Macaca mulatta: one gene and its partners. The protein of the gene in region 1 binds, or shares a complex with, the protein of each later gene. Links are inferred from orthologs where the notes say so. Each region holds a gene or a part of one and is shown in the gene's direction. Other genes may lie near its edges. The genes, in order: PPP4R2, PPP4R4, PPP4R3B, PPP4R1, PPP4R3A and PPP4C.

Region 1 (3,326 bases):
TTATGTAGGGTCTAAAAGTAAAGTAGATATGATCCATTTTATTTGTTATTTCTGAAAGTTACTTGAAAAGAGAAAAGATCTTTATAAATAAATTGGTTTTGTGAATCGTTTCTCACTGTAGTTCATAAAAGGACACCTTTTATTTTTATCTTCAAATTTTCTGTATCATTTTAAGGGAAGGAAGACTAATTGAGGGAGAGGACTTAGAGAGTATGTGTGTATGGAAGACTTGTGGGTTTATTGTAGGAGAATATTTAACTTACTGGAGAATTGCACAGAAAGGTCATACAGCTTTTCTGAGTCCACCTGGGAATTATTCATCAAACGGTTTAGGTTACCTTGAAATTATTCTCTTGTGTTTTTCTTTGCTCAGGTGTTACAATTTAACTTTGACACTAAAATACAATTTAAAACATTATTTAACCTTAAAAATGGGGATGTAGAAGATGGGGAAAATAATCTTATTAATGACACTTTAAAAAAACATTTACAGTGACTCTTCGACATCTGAATCACAAGTTTCCTCAGTTAGCCCTTTGAAAAATAAACATCCAGATGAAGATGCTGTGGAAGCTGAGGGGCATGAGGTAAAAAGACTCAGGTTTGACAAAGAAAGTGAAGTCAGAGAAACAGCCAGTCAGACAACTTCCAGTGAAATTTCTTCAGTTATGGTAGAAGAAACAGAAGCATCATCTTCATCTCAGGATAAAGACAAAGAAAGCCGTTGTACCCGGCAGCACTGTACAGAAGAGGATGAAGAAGAGGATGAAGAGGAAGAAGAAGGTATTTAGAGACCATCTGTAAAAGGGTGGAGTAAGGAGATCCTCAAATTCTTGTACTTCATTTTTTTCGTGAAAGAATTTTACATAATGGAACTCCTTATAATGCTGATGTTGGGCTTTTCTCCCACCTGTATGTAGTTGCTGCTGAATTTCAGGGGATGTGATTTGAACTATAGAATATCAGAATTCATGAAACTTAACTGTGGAGGTATTTTGAAAATAAAATTTAACTACAACAACATTTGCTTATTTTTAGAGTCTTTTATGACATCAAGAGAAATGATCCCAGAAAGAAAAAATCAAGAAAAAGAATCTGATGATGCCTTAACTGTGAATGAAGAGACTTCTGAGGAAAATAATCAAATGGAGGAATCTGATGTGTCTCAAGCTGAGAAAGATTTACTACATTCTGAAGGTGGTGAAAACGAAGGCCCTGTAAGTAGTGGTTCTTCTGACTGCCGTGAAACAGAAGAATTAGTAGGATCCAATTCCAGTAAAACTGGAGAGATTCTTTCAGAATCATCCATGGAAAATGATGATGAAGCCACAGAAGTCACCGATGAACCAATGGAACAAGACTAACTATTTAGAAACATTTAGATGCAGTATTTTACATACAGTTCTGGTTTTAACACTGTATAAAACTTTTATGTAATAAAGTGGACCTTTAGTTTTACAAGAGAAGCAGGTTGTAAAATAAAGTACTTTATGGATAATTCCTGAAAGAGTTGTACATGTAAGAACTGTGAATATCAGCTCCTCTGGGTCCTGCTTACCTTACCGCTGACTTTTCTTTCTTTCTTTTTTTTGGTCTGGGCAAATCAGTGGTTTGTGTATAGATTTTTTTTTTTTTTTAATTTAGGATTAAAGTTTTTAAACTGGAAGGTAATTATAATTTTGAAAAGTTTTTTGAGATTATCACTTTTAGTTTATACATATGCAAGAAGCTTTTTGTCTTGTCTCTTTCTGATAGCTCTAGCAGTTTTCATATTTTGGTCATAGTTTCAACATTTTAACATGTGAATTATAGGGTTTCATGCTGGTTTCCAGATTTTATTGTTTGGCTACGTACTATGGAACTTTAAGTCATATATACATACATATATATATATTATTCTAAGGGGGGAAATGTTATATTTTTCTGTTTCTATAAGAGATGAATACAGTGGATACTTTTTCTATTGGTAATGATTGAGTTCACCTCTTTCAGAAGACATTTTCTTTCTCTTCTGAGTAATTGAAATAAAATCTGGCCCTTGTGAAACCCTGGAAATCTTAAGTCTGTTGAAATACCAGGTTAAACACATTCCAAGAGATCTGTTCAAACTCAAATTCTTTTGTATACTTCTGAGGTGCCTGAGAAAAAGACTTCATTATTTATGAGAAAATATGCTTTATCTTGGAAATTGTGTTCAAATGTTAGCTTACTATTTTGTAGAATGAATGTTTATGAAGCTGATATGAGACCATCTCAGAAGAACCAAGCAGGTTCCTTGACCTTTTGCTTGCTTTTCTGAACATTGTGAATATTACACGTGTCTTTCTAAATTATTCTAGAGTATGCAAATGTCAATGGTATGGAACACCACTGTACTGGAAGAATTAATATATTACTTTAGTATGTACCTGAGCTAAATGACTGAAGCTTTAGGGGTGCATAGAAACCACCATAATTTGTATGACATTTTGGAGTGAATTAAATATTTTTGAACATGCTTCTTCGACAGCCAGTGTTATATTTTTCAGATCAACACAAAGCACAATGATTACTCTAAATTCAATATTTTCAAATTTACATATTTAAAGTCATGCAAACTGCAACTTCCCTGTCAAAATTACTGGCTGCCAAATTTATACCTGTTTCTTCAACTGTACCTTTTGATATTTAGAGTTTTTAAATTTCTGTAAAGTAGATTTTGTAGAATGTAATGTGTTCACTGCCTTTGTGAAGCGGTATATAATTGTATAATTTCTGTGTGTAAACTGAATGCTTGGGCTTTCAATACAGTATTCATATAAAGCAATAAATATTAATGTTATGAAATATTCGAGTACATTTTTATCAAAATATGGAAGAATCCCCTTTTTTTAAGTTTCAGATACCTGAAATACACAGATGGGCTTCTAAAACTGATGCAAACAGTTTCTGACACTGTATCATATGCTTTTGGGTGATTTGGGGGGCAACCACAAGTTTTGCGTTTTGACTACTTAAATCGTCATGACTATAAATACCAAAACTATTTGGATCCATTTATGTTTGTAGGATAGTATACTACTGACTGACTTGACTGTCAAGTTCACAACAGCTAGATGATATATTTATGACTATGTCTAATAGTTAAAATCTGAATATTGATTTACTATATCCAAGAGGGGAGAAAAATTAAACATGTAAATTTTTAAAAATTTTTTCAAAAATGTTACAATGAAGCAAATTTAAGTTTAGAAATTTTGAGATTTTCTTTTGAATATTTATGAAATTGTCAGTAAACCTACCTAAGATCCTGTGACCTTTGATATTTTTTATTTTAATTGTAGTGC
Region 2 (4,245 bases), on another chromosome or scaffold:
TGCCATTGGTGGGTGTGAATGGCAAAGCCATCTGGAGGGCAACATGACAGAGTGAAACCAAATACTGTGGACTTCATGACCCAGGGACTCGATTTCTTATGTTCTGTAAGGGACACGTCTAACACCCATTCCAGCATAGTCTGTGGTAGCAAGGACCTGCTGGCGACCTAATTGTCCGTTATTTGAGGAATTGATAAGTAGAATATGATAGACACACAAATCAAATACTATTATTAGTCATAAATAATGAACTCTGGTTGTATAGTGTCACATGGATAGATCTCTAAGACACTGAGAGGAAAACAAGGAACAGAATGAGTTCTTATCACAATGCCGTTCACGTATGTTAAAAACAGACACAAACCATGTATCTTTTGAGGCTGTATAAGGTGCATGAACTGGGACATACCTTAGTAGAGGAGAGGGTGTATATGGCGGGTAGAAGAATGGGTGTGGAGAAGGAACGAGTGGAAAATAAAAACGAAAAAGAAAAGGGCCTTACTGACTGACTGACGAGCTGGAGTACGAACATAACTTGTCCCTAAGGTCCAAAAAAACCTCCCCAATTCCCCTTCCATCTCGTCCCATTCTTAACAGAACCAAGTGCAAGGGACTCAGCGTGACTGTCCAGAGCAGGGCTTCTCTTCACCAACGACCTAGGTCCTCTTCCCTCTACCCACCTCGCCAAGCCCTCGGTGCCCGAGCCCCGAGCTCTACTTTGACGGCACTTCTCAAACACAACCAAACACACCCAGGCTTCAACCCCAGACGGGCTTGCTTTTATTATTTCTTTTGGGAAAGCTAAGATTCAGTTTAAGTGACTCTTCTCCGGGAGGCCTTTTCCGAATGCTGCCCTTGCCCAAAAGCCAGCCCCTCCAGGGCTGTATTCCCACAGCCCCCTCCCCCGTCAGCCCGGCACCCCGCGTTCTAACTGCTTATTTTGGGCACTCAGCGCTCCCCTTAGGGCTGGAGTTGTGTTAGGGGGGTCTCTGGGTTCGCGACCCGCCAGCTGGGGTGGGCGGTCCTGGGAATAACCGGACACTTAGTTAAGTCAGCAGGTGCAGCCGCAACCCAGCCAGCTCACTCTCCTCTGCTTCCGCTCTCATTGGCTCAGCCTCCCCGCCCCCAGGCCCCGCCCCCAGCCCGCCTCAGCCGGCTGCTGGAGGCAAAAGGCTCTGCGCACGCGCCGTGGGGTGGGGCGCCCTTGGTTGGGGGCGGACGGGGGTTTAGGAGGACAGCGAGGAACGGGCGCAGAGGGGTGGCGGGGCCGCCGCGTCGTTGCGCGGCAGTTGCGTCCTGCCTCGTGCGCGCGGCACCCGGGAGGGGGCGGGGCCGAGGTGGGCAAGGTGGCGGGCCACCGCCCCTGGCCCCGCCCCCACAGCCCGCCCGCGCGCCTCGCCCCGCCCCCTCGCCGGGCCCGCCCCGCCCCCTCGCCGGGCCGTGCTCTTGCTCCCGCCGCCCGCCAGCCTCACGCTAGGCTCCGGCGGCCAAGAGCGGGAGAAAGTCCTGCTGGTGGGCGGCCGCGGGGCTGAGCGCGTCCGGCATCCCGGGGCCGCTCCGGCCCGGGCGGCGAGGGTGCCCGGCGGTCCATGCATCCGCCGCCGTCCGCCGCCGCGATGGATTTCAGTCAGAACAGCCTGTTCGGCTACATGGAGGACCTGCAGGAGCTCACCATCATCGAGAGGCCGGTCCGCCGGAGCCTCAAGGTGCGCCCCGGGGAGAGGACCTGCCCTCAGGGCGTCCGGCCGCCTGCCCCGCGCTGATCTCCGCCCCACCCCACCACCCTCCCCTCCTTCGGGCCGCCGGGACCCTCTCGGACCGGCCCCTCCGTCCTCCTCCAGCCCCTGTTGCCGTGCCGCCCTAAGCCAGCTCCTCCCGGACCCTTCCTCAGCGCGGACCCAGTCCTCTCTAGTCTGGATCCCCATCCGCAAGGGACGGGTCCCTGCCCCAGCCCCGACCCGGCGCCAGCCCCGCGGCCCTTGCCCCTTCTGAGGCGTCCGAATCCCCCCGGCTCACCCCCAGGAACGGCCGAGCCCCAGCCCTCGGGGCAGCCCCAGCGTCCTCAGTCGCGGACCCCCTTCCTTCCGCCCCCCGCCCCACCCCGCGGGAGCTGCCCCTCGAGGCCGCAGCCCACCTCTACCCGGTCCTCTCCTGGGCTCCCCAACCTCTGGTCCGCTGACGCCGCCCGGGTTCTGGCCCCAGGCCCACCCCTCGGTCCACACATTCCCGACTCCTCCCCCCACCTCTCCCCGAGACACCACCCAGCGTCCCGTCCGCTCACCCCCAGCCCACCAAGTCAGATCAAGCTCGGGTCCCTCTGCCCTCGAGGCAGCCCGGCCTCCTCTCGCTTCCCAGCCAGCACCCTTTCTCAGTGTGGTCCTGGTCCCCGTCTACAAGCCCTCGCGACCCTTTGCCGCCCTCCTGAGTCACCGCGCATCCTTTCCTCCCAACCCCTCCAGGACTCTAGCTGGGACCCTGCTCCCCAATCCCTTGAGGGAGTCAACCTTCAGCTTGCTCCCCCCACCCCCACCGGCTCTCCCACCCCGCAGAGTCATCTTCCTCCCAGAGGCTCCAACCTTTAGCGCCAGCAAACCTAGTTTACGGACAGGACCCCTTTCCCCTGGCCATCGCTTAATTAGCTGCTTTAGCTCCTCTCACTCCCACCTGCCGCAATATCTCAAATCTCTGGTTTCTTCCAGCCCCAGAGTTGATTTCCTTCCCTCCCCCACTCCAGATCTTGTCCTTTTCATGCCTGCTCGGCTGCAGTGTTCATCCATCCCCCTTTTAGCATTTCTTGGGGTGGAAAATGCTGGAGAAATAGCCGTGAGGTATTAGAGATAAAAGTGTGTGTATTTATTCGTTTTATAACATGCGTATGAAATGGATTTCAGCCAAGGTTCTGAAGCCACGATGCGATTTTCAAGCTGCAATCCAGAAGCTAGAAGGATAAAAACAGAAAAAAAACAGTCCCCTCCCCAAATTCGACCACCCAATTAGAGACTTCCGTGATTGATGTCGCCTGGTATCCTCAGCTCCTTGATTAGTTTTCATTGTTAATGCTTAATTGTGAAACTTTTTCATTCGTTTATCCTCATAGAGGGTCACTGGGAGGTTGGGAGGCAAGACTGACCCAATGTTTGTGGTGCATAAATGTGTATTTTACCCTTGACAGACACCAGAAGAAATAGAAAGATTGACAGTCGATGAAGACCTCAGTGATATTGAAAGGGCTGTTTATCTGCTCAGGTATTTCCTAGTCTTTCTGTGAAATTGCTCTTTTTTTTCCCCCTGTGGCAGCAGAGATCAATGCTTTCTAAAATGTATGTTCCCGTTATGTTCAGATTTACTTAGCCACTTGAACAGAGTACTTTTGTGTGCATAGTACTTAACTATATTATACATTAGATTTGGCTGTGGACTTATGAATTTGAGAATTTAAATAAAACACCTAATTTATAGAATGTTGCTTGGAGGAGGAAGAGCAGATGGTTTGAGTTGAACCTCATCCTTTTTTTCTTTTCTGGCATTGGTTTTTCTCACTTAAGATTCAGTAAGTTTAGATGAGACTTGAGTATACAAGGATTAGTTTTAAGTTCATTGTAGAGTAGGCACATTATATGGGATCTACTATATGGAAAAAAATCCACAAATATGGTAGTTCATTTTGCTGTTCAGGATATCCTGTTTGTAGTACTTTTGCTATGCAAGCTTTATGATTTTGTCTGAGGGGTTTTGGAAACTTAGTTGATTTCAAACCATTTCACAGGCTCTACAGAATTGCTTAAGGCAAATGGTTACTGCGAATATTTACAAGATTTTTCTGAACTATTTAAAACATTGTCTTGTAGATTGAGCATCTTAAAAACTAGTACAGTGACCATTAATGATGTTTTAATTGATTAAAATCCTTTAGAAACAAATTTCCTACAGCATTTTGTGTATATTTAAAATTTTTCATTAGCTTACACAACATATTTTTCCCTTTTGGCAAATTAGTCACTCTTATTTTCCAGAATCAGATTTTGAAAACTGATGTAATTTACCTCCTAGGATATTTGTCATCCTTGTTTCCTTAGCTCAGTGCCAGTTCCAGGTACTGGCAAGTTTCTTGTTCTCCTTTCTTGTTTACAGATCATGTTTCCAGTCCCATGTTATTCATTGAATGATCCTGTAAAAACAAACAAACAAACAAACAAAAACTCCCTCTCCAGGTCTTCAATTTTCTTAATTACTTTTTTTAGCCTA
Region 3 (3,500 bases), on another chromosome or scaffold:
GAAATATGTGGAGCATAATAGAACATTAGCCACTATCTGAAAATATTTGTTAACCTGAAGAGTCACTTAAAAGGAAGTTAGTTAGGAGAATTTTATGAAACTAGTAAGTTGAAACATGAGCACACCCTGTGTAATACTATCAGTTCCATTTCTGAGTATATACTCTAGGGAATGTTTGTGCATATGCATGACAGGTACAAGAATGTTGCTGCATTGTTTGTGGTAGGAAAATGAATAAAATATGTTTTTTTCAAATAATGGAATACTATATAGCAGTTAAAATAATTGAATTTTGATGTATCAACTGAATAATTCCCCAAAATATCAAGGTGAATGGGTACAAAAGCACATCACAGAGAGTTTTCTTGCAGAATGGTTCCATTTATATAAATAAAAATAATGCATTTTTTATGTTCATTTTAATAAAACACTTCCGGCTTACAGAAATATATAGATAATAGTATAACAGACACTCATATACTCCCTGTTGGCTTTATCAAAACTAACTTGCCATATTTTTTTTCAGATTTTTTTTTAAAACATTACAGATATAGTTGGAGTTTCGTATGTACCCCTTCACATTCCCATTCCCATTCTACCCCCTCTTCCTCCATCTCTCAAGGTATGCTGAATTTGGAGTTTATCACTCCTGTGTTTACTTATATTGTTATGATGTGTATATACGGTATTATTTTTCATATTTTCAAAGTTGCTATAAATTTAATGTCTGTCATACGTATTATTCTGCATATTTTTTATCCAGTGTTATTTTTGAGATCTGTTCGTATTGATACCTGTTCATATTGATCTAATTCATATTGAAATAGAGTTCTTATTTAATTTTAACTCCTACATAATCCTCTCTTATGAGTATGCTGTAATAGAGCCATTCTGCCTCTAATGTGCATTTGTTTCTAGCTTTTTGCTATTACAAATAATGCTCCAGTTACATTCTTGTGTTTCCCTATGCACATGTGCCTTGATGTGCTCTAGAATGTATGCCTAGAAATTGGAACTTATTTATAATGGCCTACTTAATTGAGTTTTTTGTTTTTTAAATTTAAAGCATAAACACATTTATTATTCTGGAGTTTTAAAAATTCCTGTATTTTCTGTTTTTAAAAATGAGATGAATAATGGATGATCAAATGCAAATATTATTTTAAAAAATTAAAATTAAAAAAACAAAAATGAGATGAAGAGAAATATCCTAATTGTTGAATGATGAATAGGAGAAGGTAAAAGAAGATATGTTGGTTTTATCCCTGGTTGTAATCTTACTTTTTATCAGAATATATATGCTATGTTGTCTTTTAATAATTCTATAGCTACATCCACTTTTGTAAAAGATTGCAGATATAGTTATAATTTTGCTGAAGCAACTAAGTCTTTTTTTTTTTTTTTTTGAGACGGAGTCTCGCTCTGCCACCCAGGCTGGAGTGCAGTGGCCGGATCTCAGCTCACTGCAAGCTCCGCCTCCTGGGTTCACGCCATTCTCCTGCCTCAGCCTCCTGAGTACCTGGGACTACAGGCGCCCGCCACTGCGCCCGGCTAGTTTTTTGTATTTTTTAGTAGAGACGGGGTTTCACTGTGTTAGCCAGGATGGTCTCGATCTCCTGACCTCGTGATCCGCCCGTCTCGGCCTCCCAAAGTGCTGGGATTACAGGCTTGAGCCACCGCGCCCGGCCAAAGCAACTAAGTCTTAATGGTTATTTTGAGGGTAAAATGAAATTATGATTGAAGTCATGCATTGTATATTATAAAGTACTAGGGAAAGGTGGGATATTATTACTGAAGTATTTGATTTTAATTTTTAATTTTTTTATTAGATAATATAGTTGGATCAAACAAAAACAACACAATTTGCCCTGGTAAGTATAAATTCATACTTTACGAATACATGCAAATTATAAACTTTTTTTCTACTTTAAGTGTAATGCACTTATATAAGGCTAAGAAAAGCATATTTTGGCATAAAAACAAAATCCAAAAATTTATTTTTGTCTGTATTGTAAAGAAAAAATTCCACTATCTCCAGTATTAAAAATAGAAAACTAGTTGAATTCTGTTGTTTTTTCCCTGAAAATGTATAGCTTGTTTTCTGACGTTGTTATGAGAAGGCATTGTCTGAAAGTCGAGGATTTAGTTCTTATTTTTGAAATGTAGTAACTAAGACCAGTTACTTTGCAACTAACTTTCATGACCACTTTATGCTTATTGTTCATGAATCTGAGTCAAAAAGTAGTTGTTCCTATTTAGAACAGGCATACTAGGTATGGGCTTGATACTAATAAAGACATGTGCTGTGTACACCTAGTGTCCCATGCCTTTTCTGCCAGCCTCATCAAATCTCAAAGGGGAGCCAGTTTCAAATAAGGAGGCTGTTCAGAGATTGGACTATTTAGAGATATGAGTAATTTCTTGTCCCAGTTATAAAGATGAAGACAAGAGATTTGTTTAACACTGTAGGTCATTGTTTTTATTTTGTTTGTTTTTTTTTGTTTGTTTTGTTTTGAGATGGAGTCTAACTCTGTCGCCCAGGCTGGAGTGCAGTGGCACAATCTTGGCTCACTGCAACTTCCGCCTCCCAAGTTCAAGCGATTCTTCTGCCTCAGCCTCCCAACTTTGTATTTTTAGTAGAGATGGGGTTTCACCGTGTTAGCCAGGGTGGTCTTGATCTCCTGACCTCGTGATCTACCTGCCTCGGCCTCCCAAAGTGCTGGGATTAGAGGTGTGAGCCACTGCGCCTGGCCTGTTTTTGTTTTTTCAATTTAATTTCCACATACAGCATTGAGGGTCAAGTTTAAAAAATCTTTTGTAATAAAATTTGGGAATTGAGAAATAAAGAAGAATTGCTTTTTTTTGTTTGTTTGTTTGAGACAGAGTCTCACTCTGTCACCCAGGCTAGAGTGCAGTGGCATGATTTCGGCTCACTGCAGCCTCCACATCCTGGGTCCAAGCAATCTCCCACCTCAGCCTCCCAAGTAGCTAGGATTACAGGTGCATGCCACCACGCCCACCTAATTTTTTTTGTATTTTTAGTAGAGACGGGGTTTCACCATGTTGGCCAGACTGGTCTCAAACTCCTGACCTCAGGCGATCCACCCACCTTGGCCTCCCAAAGTGCTGGGATTACAGGCATGAGCCACCGCACCTGGCCAGGAATTGCCTTTAATGGTGAGGGACTAGTTCAAATTTTGGCTGTAGTACTGGCTGTTATAGAAATTGGTCTGGAGCAAGTGAAACTCTTTACTTGCATTTAAAGTAGAAACAATCCTTGAAATATCAGAATTTTATTTTGTGTATTTATGTGTGATGGTCATTCTGTTATTAGAAAGAATGCTAATTTATTCCCAATAGCATTGTAGTTCCCCAAAATATTTATGTATATAATCTCAAGTAAATAAAATAGTTGTACTAGATGATGTCATTTTTTTAAAAATTCTGTAAGACTGTGATTTTATAATTTCCTTACAGCTTAATATTTCCTTGTCTAGCCA
Region 4 (3,417 bases), on another chromosome or scaffold:
TGTCTTACTGTCAGTGAATTTCCTCAACTTTTTTTTTTTTTTCCTGAAAATGTCTTTAGTTCATTTTTATATTATTTTTATCATGGTGAAATACACATAGCCAAATTTGCTATTGATGACATTTAGTACATTCACAATGTTGTGGAACCATTCCCTCTAGTTCTAAAATGTTAACCTCCTGAAAAGAAAAATGCATGTCCAATAAGCATCTACTTACTATCTATGGATTTGCCTATTGTGGACATGTCATGCAAGTGGAATCATACCACATGTGGCCTTTTGTGCTTGGTTTCTTCATCTAACAATGCTTTCAGTTGTCCCTCCATATTGTATCCTCTAGCTGAACTTGCCTCCCTTTTTGTGGTTGAGTAAATATTCCATTGTATGGATATACCACATTCATTTAGTGCATTCATCTGTTGAGGAACATTTGGGTTGGGTGTGTGGTCTTTTGTGAATAGTGCTGCTAGGAACGTTTATGTACAAGATTTAATCCTTGAAATCTGTTTTCAGTTATTTTGAGGTGGATTTGCAAGGCCATATGGTAATTCTGTGTTTAATTCATTGAGGAACTGCCACACTTTTCTACAACAGCTGTACCATTTTACATTCCCATCAGCAACGTATGGGAGTTCCAATTTCTGTATGTCCTCACTAACACCTATTTTCCTATTAAATTTTAAAAATATTTCTAAATTGGCCAAATAATAATTGTGCATATTTATAAGGTATGTAATGATGTTGCAATACATATTGGATAGTGGTTAGATAAGGGCAATTAGCATATCCATCACTCGCTTATCATTGATAGCTGTTCTGATGGGTGTGGAACAGCACCTCGTTGTGGTATGATTCACATTTCCCTAATGACTAATGATGTTGAACACTTTTTCATAAGCCTGTTAACCATTTGTGTATATTTTGTGGAGAAATGTCTATCCAAGTCTCTTGCACATTTTTAAATTGGGTTGTTTATCTTAAGTTGTGTTGTTGAGTTGTAAGAGCTATTTATATATTCCGGATCATACACCTCACGTGTATTTTCAGATGACGTCTTTGCTGAGTATGGGATGTGGGGCTGACAGTTTGTCTTTCAGTGTATTAAAAATGCCTCTCCATTGAGTTCTGGCTTTCCCACTTCTGACTCGAAATGCACGCCTCCTCTTCCGCTATGTAGTGCCGGGATGTGAGTCCAGCTAGTCAGGATCAAGCTGGGCTTGCGTTTTGTCATTGCTGTGGTTACCTTCAGTGTATTTGGGGCTTCAGTTTTCCTCACTGTGGGCTGCCACTACCGTTGCCGTTTGCTGAGGGTGGGAGCTGGGGCACCAGTGGTCTTGTAGTGCGAGTATTCCACCCAGGCTTGAGCTATACCTGCACCCCTGTGTAATGGGTGGGGCCTCCTGTCTGTGCTTGGTCTCGGGCAGGACTTCCTGCAGCTCCTCCTAGAATAAGGAGCGTTAGTTCTCCTCTCCCCCAGTTGCAGCGTTTTTGCTGGCCCACAGGGTAGACAGGCTTTGGGCCCCTCCACCAGCAGGTTAAGCCTTTTGCTTTGTGTGAGTGAAGGGCCCAGTAGAGTGCTTGGTGATTCATGGCTGTCCGTCAGCCGCTTCTGCCTGCTATGAGACACCGCTCCTGTTTCTCCTGACTGTCTTTCTTGAAGCACCCATGGGAGGCAGGCACCCTGTGGAAGTCAGAAGGTCAGAAGGTTGCCTGGGGATGTGAGCTCCCTGTGTCGGGCACATATGGCTTTGCTTGAGCCACTCCATGCTCGTGCCAGCCACCATCTGGCCCTGGGCAGCTGGCTACAATTCGAGCTGATTTCTCCCCACCCTGTTATGTGCTGGCAGGTGCCCTGTCCCTCCGGGCTCTGCTGAGGGGGAAAGTTAGGCTGTTTGGGTGCTTTGCAACCCCAGCTCTCTGATGGGCTCAAGAAAAGATCTTGAAGTTTATATAGCTTTTTCTACTGTAGGGTCAGTGACATTCTTGCAGTTTTCTGTATTCTAAGCAGAAACTGATGTCCTATTTGGAATTCTGATTTTGAACTTTGTCAAAAAGTACGTGTGTCTGTTTGAGGATGTATGTTTGTATGCACAGGTGCATTGTCATGACTGCATAATCTACGTTCATGTTACAGTTGACTTCCTGCTTATTAGAAATGTAAATCATCTCGAACATAAAATCTGAAAGGCAAAAGTCTCACATCCAAGGTATTTCTTCAAGGGCATCATTGAAGCCTTCAGGTTAGCTTGGTGGATGTCATGAAAGTCTCAGGGCCCCTCAGATGTGATGGGAAGGTCGCTGGAGGACACCCTCCCTCTGTTATCCCTAGCGAGTCCCTTCCAGGAAGGCTCCTCAGAGCCCCGACAGGTACACAGCAGACTACCTGCCCCTGCGGGAACTTCTTACTGAGAAACTTGATTGTAGATGGAAGCTTCTCAGCACGTTCCACACTGTAACCATGGATCAGTGTGGGCCACGTTCCAGTTGAACATACTAGGAAGTGCTTTGCTTTCTCAGTTCCCATGGATGCAGAGCTCTACGGCTTTTGTTTTCCTTACACTCTACGGAACTTGAATAGCATGTAAGTGCGTTTCCAGATGCAGAGACTGGAGGTAACTGGACAGGAGAGGTCCGCTTAGTCGCTCCTCTTTGCATGTGTTTGAGACAGGTGCTCCGTAATCCAGTATTGCAGATTATTTAAATGAGAACCTGTTTTCATTTGTCTCGCCGATTTTTAAACATTATCTTTTTGTAATTCCTTTTTGTAGACAGCTGATTTTACTTCTAGAGTTATATAGTCCCAGAGATGTTTATGACTATTTACGTCCCATTGCTCTGAATCTGTGTGCAGACAAGGTTTCTTCTGTTCGTTGGATTTCCTACAAGTTGGTATGTATTGAACTTTTAAAATTTTAGACCAGTAAACTCTAAGATCCTAGATTGGAAGCTGTTCCTCACTTCACACTCACCCTCCCAGGTCAGCGAGATGGTGAAGAAGCTGCACGCGGCAACACCACCAACGTTCGGAGTGGACCTCATCAATGAACTTGTGGAGAACTTTGGCAGATGTCCCAAGTGGTCTGGTCGGCAAGCCTTTGTCTTTGTCTGCCAGGTAAGCGAGGCCCTGGGCTTACCTGTTTGTGAGTTTTTCTCCTAGAAGAATGTCTTCTTTGACTTCCTACCTCTCTCTCATCCTCTTCCTTATTCTTAAGAAACAGAACCTTACGGTAGCCTGGCTGTTTCTAGGATCACCTGTCCCCATTGTTGGGCATCTGCTGGCCCCTCCCTCCCAGCCAGCCAAGCCCCTTCTTCACTGGCACGCACCACACACACCCCACGTGCCTGCTGTACATGCATGTTCCACACCACACACCACATGCCTGGAATGTGCGTGTTCTGCTCTACACACATTCAGAC
Region 5 (3,259 bases), on another chromosome or scaffold:
TGTGACATGCTTTTAAAATATGCATGGCTACTGTGTGTGCTCACTTGGAAGTGGGAACTAAACTTTGAGTACACATGGAAGTAAAGAAGGGAATAACAGCAGATACCAGGGCCACTTGAGGGTAGAGAGTGGGAGAAGGTGAGCATTGAAAAACTACCTATTGGGTACTGTGCTTACTACCTGGGTGATGAAATAACCTATACACCAAACCCCTGTGACAGGCAGTTTACCCATATAACAAATACACACATGGACCCCTGAACCTAAAATAAAAATTGATTAGTAAAACAAATGTCCATGGCCAGGGATAGTGGCTTATGCCTGTAATCCTAGCACTTTGGTAGGCCAAGGTGGGAGGATTGCTTGAGGCCAGGAGTTAGAGACTAACTCGGGCAACATATAAAGACCCCATCTCTACAAAATTTTTTCTTTAAAACTTAGCCCTGTATGGTGGTGCATGTCTATAGTCCTAGCTGCTCGGGAGGCTGAGGCGGGAGGATTGCTTGAGCCCAGGAGTTCAAGGCTGCAGTGAGCTATGATCATACCACTATATCTCAACCTGGGTGCCAGAGCGAGACCCCATCTCTTAAAAAAATAAAATACACATACCCAGCGCACACATCAGAATCAGAATCACCTAGGGCAAGACCTGGGCATTTACTTTGTAAAGACCCATAGACCATAGATAAAGACCCAAAGACCCATAGATAGCTGGGCGCAATGGCTCACACCTGTAATCCTAGCACTTTGGGAGGCAGAGGCAGGTGGATCACCTGGGGTCAGGAGTTTGAGACCAGCCTGACCAGCATGGAGAAACCCCATCTCTACTAAAAATACAAAATTAGCCAGGCATAGTGGTGCATGCCTGTAATCCCAGCTACTCGGGAGGCTGAGGCAGGAGAATCGCTTGAATCCAGGAGGCAGAGGTTGCAGTGAGCCGAGATCACACCATCGCACTCCAGCCTGGGCAACAAGAGCAAAACTCCATCTAAAAAGAAAAAAAAAGACCCATAGATAAATTGGGGACTATTTTAGTAGCCAATATATGTTATTCCCATTTTTTATTGTTTGGCTATCTCTAAGATTATGTAATTTTATGAAATTAAGCTACTTTTGGTGGGTATGAATTTATTAAATTAAGCCTCATCTTGCTAAAATGACATTTTCCTATCATTTTTTCATTGCTATTCTTTTCTGTAGGAAGATATAAAATCATTAACTGCTCATGTAATTGAAAATTACTGGAAAGCACTGGAAGATGTAGATTATGTACAGACATTTAAAGGATTAAAACTGAGATTTGAACAACAAAGAGAAAGGCAAGATAATCCCAAACTTGACAGGTAAATGACCATACATTTAAACATATTCGTTCAACATCAAGTTGTGTGGTAGTGGCTTTATTGTTTATTTGATATTATTTGGCTTGACAAGGAACTGGCAAATCAGCAGATAGCAAATAGAAATTGTAGCTTCCTGTAAGGGTCAGCATAAATGTTTCCCTGAAGATTTAGCTGGTTGTTAGTATAATACCTTAGGCATGTATCAAGCTAGATAATGAAAAAAAAACAAAAAGACCAAACAGTGGCAGTGAGGCTTCATGTGTTCAAAATAAAATCAGAGCATTATATTACTTGCTTTAAATTTACAAGTTACTAAAGTTACAAATTATTCTTTAAAATTTTGTACATTAATCTACCTGGATTTACATTGATATTTTAATATTTGTAAATTTCTTGTTAATTCCCTATGTTAATTTAATAAGTCATCTGTAACAGTACAATTAAGTCCATATATGATTGTATTTACTCTTTCTTCTCTGCTCGTAGTATGCGTTCCATTTTGAGGAATCATAGATATCGAAGAGATGCCAGAACACTAGAAGATGAAGAAGAGATGTGGTTTAACACAGATGAAGATGACATGGAAGATGGGGAAGCTGTAGTGTCTCCATCTGACAAAACTAAAAATGATGATGATATTATGGATCCAATAAGTAAATTCATGGAAAGGAAGAAATGTATGTGGGAAAAAAATGGCCAAGAGAAAATTAAGGCTTTCTCACTCTAGATTTATTCTTATTTCTTGACAAAATGATTAGTTAATATTTGCTTGGAATGTGTGATGGCATAGGTTTTAAAGACTCCATTGCTTTATGGGATGTGACTGAATAGCAGTGTTGTGCAGGCAGAGACTAAGTTTTCTTAATTTGAGTTGAATAAGGAATATACTATTTCAGGAAGGGTAGCGATACTGAATATGATTCTGAAGGTTTCACTTCTTCTCTGGAGTAAGATCCAATGAATGGAATTTTGTTTAGTGTTTTGGTAAGCTTCATTTATAAATTGAACTTCAGTGTTTCTACCCAGTGGAGTAAGCTGGTTAAATGTATTTTAGTGTTACCTCATTTGGGGAAATTTAAAAAAGAATGAGTATGGGGGACAACTATTGACAGTATTCTCATTTTTAGTAAAAGAAAGTGAGGAAAAGGAAGTGCTTCTGAAAACAAATCTTTCTGGACGGCAGAGCCCAAGTTTCAAGCTTTCCCTGTCCAGTGGAACGAAGACTAACCTCACCAGCCAGTCATCTACAACAAATCTGCCTGGTTCTCCGGGATCACCTGGATCCCCAGGATCTCCAGGCTCTCCTGGATCCGTACCTAAAAATACATCTCAGACGGCAGCTATTACTACAAAGGTACATTTTTGACTCCCATTTTGCCCCCTTTTTTTCCAATTTAAGCTTTCTCAACAATTTTTACTAAGATTCCCTTTGGTTACTGCCACCTAGAACTGATTTAACATTCGCGAACTAGAGGATGAGTCCCCCCCACCACTTGAACTTATATAAATGTTGAGAAATTTCTGAAAGTCTTTTTATGACCAATGCAAAAGTCTGAATATAGTGTGAATTCTCACTTGGGTATTTTGCATTTTAGAACTGCAACTTCAAATTTGTATGTCAGAACATTCACAGAAATGTTTAAGGTTTTCAGTTATTCTCGAATAAATTTTCCTAATACCGAGATAAAGCCTTTGTGGGGAAATAATAATCTAAATATCTGGATACTTCTGACTTTACTTTGCCAGTTATGGTTTATTTTTTTAAGAAAACTTAAACATCTACTGTCACTAACATTTCATATAAGAAAAGAACAAGGCCAGGCGCTGTGGCTCACAAGGGCCCAGCACTTTGGGAGGCCGAGGCGGGTGGGTCACAAGGTCAGGAGATCAAGACAATTTTGGCTAACACAGTGAAA
Region 6 (4,086 bases), on another chromosome or scaffold:
CAAGTATTTATGTATGCCTACGGTGCCAGGCCTTATTCTAACCACTGGGGCTGCAATACTTAAAAAGACAAAGTTGGATCCTCCAAGGATTGTGGTGGGGAAGGCTAACAAAATAACAAAAATATGTAACATTTTTTAAAAAGTGCAATAAAGTTACAAAGCCTAGCCCCAGCTCTGCTTGTTTCCCTAGCTGAAATGGAGGATGGCCGGGTGCGGTGGCTCACACCTGTAATCCCAGCACTTTGGGAGGCCCGAGGCAGGAGGATGGTTTGAGCCCAGGGGTTCGAAGTGACAGTGAGTTATGATAGCCCCACGGACTCCAGCCTGAGCGACAGAGAGAGACCCTGTCTCTAATTTAGGAAAAAGAAAGTTGCCGGGCGCGGTGGCTCAAGCCTGTAATCCCAGCACTTTGGGAGGCCGAGACGGGTGGATCACGAGGTCAGGAGATCGAGACCATCCTGGCTAACACGGTGAAACCCCGTCTCTACTAAAAAATGCAAAAAATTAGCCGGGCGAGGTGGTGGGCGCCTGTAGTCCCAGCTACTCGGGAGGCTGAGGCCGGAGAATGGCGTGAACCCGGAAGGCGGAGCTTGCAGTGAGCTGAGATCCGGCCACTGCACTCCAGCCTGGGCGACAGAGGAGACTCTGTCTCAAAAAAAAAAAAAAAAAAAAGTAAGTTGTGGCCGGGCGCGGTGCCTAACGGCTGTAATCCCAGCACTTTGGGAGGCGAAGGGGGGGCGGGGGCGGATCACCTGAGGTACGCAGTTCGAGACCAGTCTGACCAACAAGAAGAAACCACGTCTCTGTTAAAAATACAAAATTAGCCCGGCGTGGTGGCGCATGCCTGTAACCCCAGCTACTAAGGAGGTTGAGGCAGGAGGATTGCTTGAACCCGGGAGGCGGAGGTTGCGGTGAGCCGAGATCGTGCCATTGCACTCCCGCCTGGGCAAGAGCAAAACTCCGCCTCAAAAAGAAAGAAAGAAAGCTGTTAAAACATTTGTATAAAATGAAAGGGGAGGTGACTGTTCTAGGGTTTCTAACAGCCTCCACATCGCCCAGCAACAGAGCCCACAAAACTGCCCCTGGCCGCCACCGGGATCCTCCAGCTTCTTCCCCATCTGCGGTTGGGGAAGTGGTGCAGCGGTCGCTGCGAAGGAGGGAGAGGAGCGTGTATGACGCCACATCCGGCGCGCGGCGGAACTGGCTTCCCTTTGCTTCCGCGGCGGGGCCGGAAGTAGAAGCGGCGGCGGCGGTGGCTGCGGCCCAAAGCGGAGTGAAAGAGGGAGGCAGGGAGCCGGAGAGCCGGAACCGGAGTCGCAGCGGCGGTAATATTGCCAGACTCCTCTAAGTCACCGTCCTTAGCGCGGGACCGCGGGGTTCGACGGGAGTTAGCGGGGTTGCGGCCGCGCCGTGGGACGCTGGGGGGTCCTAAGGCCGATGTGAGGGGAGGCGGGGGTGGGGGAGCCGGGCCGGCTCTAGAATCGAGTTGTCCGCCCCGCGCCCCGCACGGACACTCTGATCCGCGGGCTCGTCTTGGCCTTTCCCAGGAGACCCCTGTGCGGTGCGGAGGGGGCGGCGGCCCCGACTCTGACCCGCGCCGGGGGTGGGCCATGGCGGAGATCAGCGACCTGGACCGGCAGATCGAGCAGCTGCGTCGCTGCGAGCTCATCAAGGAGAGCGAAGTCAAGGCCCTGTGCGCTAAAGCCAGGTGAGCCCATTGGCCCTGGGGAAGGGAGGCCAAGCCGCCGCCCACGGGTTCTGTCCTGGGGCAAACCCAACTGAGAACTTTGGGCTTGCCTCGCCCTGGAAGCTTTCCCAGAGAGGAGCAGGATGGAACCGCTGCCCTCGAGGAAAATCTAGCCTGCTCGGGGAAGACAGAGCGGATAAAGACACTTAAAGTATTAGACGATGTGTTTCCAGTAGAGTAAGAATGTTACGTAAAGTACTTAGGAAACTCAAGAAAACAAGTCCATCTGTCGGGGGTCGGAAGCTTGTTGGAGGGGGGCCGAACTGTGGGACAGTCCTCGAATAAGGAGGTGGTAAAAGAGCCAAAAATCAAAGATTTAAGACAGGAAAGTTAAAGACCCTGTGATTTATAAAAGTCCTTTAATTACAACAACCCTTAAAGGTTGGTGGTATTGTACTCATTTTACAGGTGAGAACTTTCATGTTAAAAGTTACCCACAAGTAGGGAATGAGGATCGGAAGCCAGCTCTTAGTGTCCCGTCCTTTTTCAGGCCATAATGCAAAAAGGTGTGGAGTTGGATTACTCACGTTCAGGGTGGGAGCCTGAGAAATCGTAGCAAGTAAGCTAGGGTAAAATTAAGCATGATAGGGAGGGAGGCCAGTTCAGAGTTCTGTGGGAAGTAGGATGAAGCAGTGGTTAAGGCTCTGGGTTTTGCAGTGTGAGATGGCTCTAGGTTTGAATCTGAACTCTGCCACTTTCTAGCTGTGTTAGTGATCTTAAGGTGTCTTTATTTGTAAAGCGGAGTTAATAGTACTTAATAAGATGGTTGTGAAGGTTCAGTGAGTTGGTGCTTGAGATGAGGTTAGCACAGTGTCTTGGTACAGCATACGTGCTTGATAATCACCAGGTATTCTATTTCTCTTGGAAGAGGGCAATAATGAGATGGGTTAAAGCCATCAGGGAAGGCTTTTGAGTGGAGGTAGGCCTTGAAGGATGAAGATAATTTGGCTAGCTGATGGAGGCAGGGCCAGTGAGGGAAGGGCATTCCAAGCAGAACGAATGTAACAGTGGAGGCCCTGAGATGTATGGGGAACAGTCAGGGGTTTAATTATTACCTGCCTCCTCTGGGGCACTGTGTGATTGTGGCTTCTACCAGGCTGGAGAATTGTGGCAGAAGAACCCGCAGAATTACCCTATGTTTATTGAACAATAAACATTGGCCTTTATAGGGCCACTGTTGGCCTGGCCCTGTACTGGTAAAAAAACTTTTGTCCATCTCTTCCCCCCAGCAATCCTGTGAGGTTGGAATCATTTGTTCCATTTTATCACACAGGAAGCCATGACTTGTAGAGGTCTGGTGACTTGACTGAGGTCACCCACTGAGGACGTGGCAGAGCTGGGTCCTGAATCTGTGGCCCTCAGGCTCTTTGCTTGGCCCTGCCTCACATAGACTCCCTGCAGCCAGACAGGGCCTGTGAGGGGATGTTGAGCAGGGTCGGCCTCTTTTTCACCACCTGTCTGTGGCTTTTCTCTTTTGCCAGCTCAAGAAAATGTCCCTGACCAGACTAGCCCCACGGTGTTTTTAGTTTTTCCCTCTCCCTCAGTCCTGATTGGCATTTTTAGGAACTTATACCTGTTATTGCGTGGCTCTGTTCTTTAACCCTGAAGTCTTATCTCCGTCACAGGCCCTGAATCAGCGTGGTGGTGATGGTAGGCAAAGCTTGGATAGCATGCTGGAGTTTGCAGACTAGCAGGAAGTTATGTATTCAGTCTCCATGGCTCCTTGCAACAGCCTAAGGAATAGGCAGGGCGGGCTGAGTATTTAGCCCCATTTCATAGCAGAGGAAACTGAGCCTCTGAGTAGATAATGTCTTGTCCAACTCACGCAGCTAGTCGGAGGGGAAGTTAGTTTTGCATCCAGGTCTTTGACTGTGCTCCGTGGTCACTGAGAACCAGGCAGAGGCATTTAGGTTTTGATGTGTGGTGTGAGGCAGCAGGGAGCCATGGAAGACTGAGGGGTGGAGGGTCCTGCCCAGTTGAAACTGAGTGAAACTAGGAGGTACTAGGCCAAGGCTCAGTCTGAAGCAGGGCCAGCTCTGATACCTGGTTATGGCCTCCTGGGGACCCAACAGAGACCCAGGCTGAGGCTGGTAGTGTCAAGAGCACCAGCTTGCCCAGAGGGCACAGAGATGCAGGTGAAACCCGTGGAAACACAGAGGTCCGCAGTGTCTGAGCTGAAATTGCTGCTCCTAGAAATACTAGCACAGAAGAGCTGAGCTTTTGAATCAGGTGGTCTTCAGTATGAATCTTTGCCTTGTCACCTAGAAACAATATGACCCTTGTCAAGTCACTTTCTGATTTTTTGAAATGATAATGACATGCAGTTGAGAGTCCGGGTA

The links.
Region 2: PPP4R2 (region 1) and PPP4R4 share a complex: the UniProt entries of both Homo sapiens proteins name them as parts of the PP4 complex. The link is inferred for Macaca mulatta from reciprocal best matches to the Homo sapiens genes PPP4R2 and PPP4R4.
Region 3: PPP4R2 (region 1) and PPP4R3B share a complex: the UniProt entries of both Homo sapiens proteins name them as parts of the PP4 complex. The link is inferred for Macaca mulatta from reciprocal best matches to the Homo sapiens genes PPP4R2 and PPP4R3B.
Region 4: PPP4R2 (region 1) and PPP4R1 share a complex: the UniProt entries of both Homo sapiens proteins name them as parts of the PP4 complex. The link is inferred for Macaca mulatta from reciprocal best matches to the Homo sapiens genes PPP4R2 and PPP4R1.
Region 5: PPP4R2 (region 1) and PPP4R3A share a complex: the UniProt entries of both Homo sapiens proteins name them as parts of the PP4 complex. The link is inferred for Macaca mulatta from reciprocal best matches to the Homo sapiens genes PPP4R2 and PPP4R3A.
Region 6: PPP4R2 (region 1) and PPP4C share a complex: the UniProt entries of both Homo sapiens proteins name them as parts of the PP4 complex. The link is inferred for Macaca mulatta from reciprocal best matches to the Homo sapiens genes PPP4R2 and PPP4C.

Annotation. Positions count from the first base shown.
Region 1 is NC_133407.1:136,556,174-136,559,499, forward strand, and holds the end of PPP4R2 (serine/threonine-protein phosphatase 4 regulatory subunit 2), read left to right. Parts: intron 1-493; coding exon 494-783; intron 784-1,038; coding exon 1,039-1,364; 3' UTR 1,365-2,826; downstream 2,827-3,326. UniProt on the Homo sapiens protein: Regulatory subunit of serine/threonine-protein phosphatase 4 (PP4). May regulate the activity of PPP4C at centrosomal microtubule organizing centers.
Region 2 is NC_133412.1:167,449,268-167,453,512, forward strand, and holds the start of PPP4R4 (serine/threonine-protein phosphatase 4 regulatory subunit 4), read left to right. Parts: upstream 1-1,445; 5' UTR 1,446-1,589; coding exon 1,590-1,706; intron 1,707-3,172; coding exon 3,173-3,246; intron 3,247-4,245. UniProt on the Homo sapiens protein: Putative regulatory subunit of serine/threonine-protein phosphatase 4.
Region 3 is NC_133418.1:69,049,252-69,052,751, forward strand, and holds part of PPP4R3B (serine/threonine-protein phosphatase 4 regulatory subunit 3B), read left to right. Parts: intron 1-526; coding exon 527-622; intron 623-1,829; coding exon 1,830-1,871; intron 1,872-3,500. UniProt on the Homo sapiens protein: Regulatory subunit of serine/threonine-protein phosphatase 4 (PP4). May regulate the activity of PPP4C at centrosomal microtubule organizing centers.
Region 4 is NC_133423.1:80,509,600-80,513,016, reverse strand, and holds part of PPP4R1 (serine/threonine-protein phosphatase 4 regulatory subunit 1), read left to right. Parts: intron 1-2,768; coding exon 2,769-2,889; intron 2,890-2,977; coding exon 2,978-3,112; intron 3,113-3,417. UniProt on the Homo sapiens protein: Regulatory subunit of serine/threonine-protein phosphatase 4. May play a role in regulation of cell division in renal glomeruli. The PPP4C-PPP4R1 PP4 complex may play a role in dephosphorylation and regulation of HDAC3.
Region 5 is NC_133412.1:164,713,020-164,716,278, reverse strand, and holds part of PPP4R3A (serine/threonine-protein phosphatase 4 regulatory subunit 3A), read left to right. Parts: intron 1-1,200; coding exon 1,201-1,343; intron 1,344-1,829; coding exon 1,830-2,020; intron 2,021-2,470; coding exon 2,471-2,697; intron 2,698-3,259. UniProt on the Homo sapiens protein: Regulatory subunit of serine/threonine-protein phosphatase 4. May regulate the activity of PPP4C at centrosomal microtubule organizing centers.
Region 6 is NC_133425.1:28,485,439-28,489,524, reverse strand, and holds the start of PPP4C (serine/threonine-protein phosphatase 4 catalytic subunit), read left to right. Parts: upstream 1-1,286; 5' UTR 1,287-1,325; intron 1,326-1,547; 5' UTR 1,548-1,610; coding exon 1,611-1,708; intron 1,709-4,086. UniProt on the Homo sapiens protein: Protein phosphatase that is involved in many processes such as microtubule organization at centrosomes, maturation of spliceosomal snRNPs, apoptosis, DNA repair, tumor necrosis factor (TNF)-alpha signaling, activation of c-Jun N-terminal kinase MAPK8, regulation of histone acetylation, DNA damage checkpoint signaling, NF-kappa-B activation and cell migration.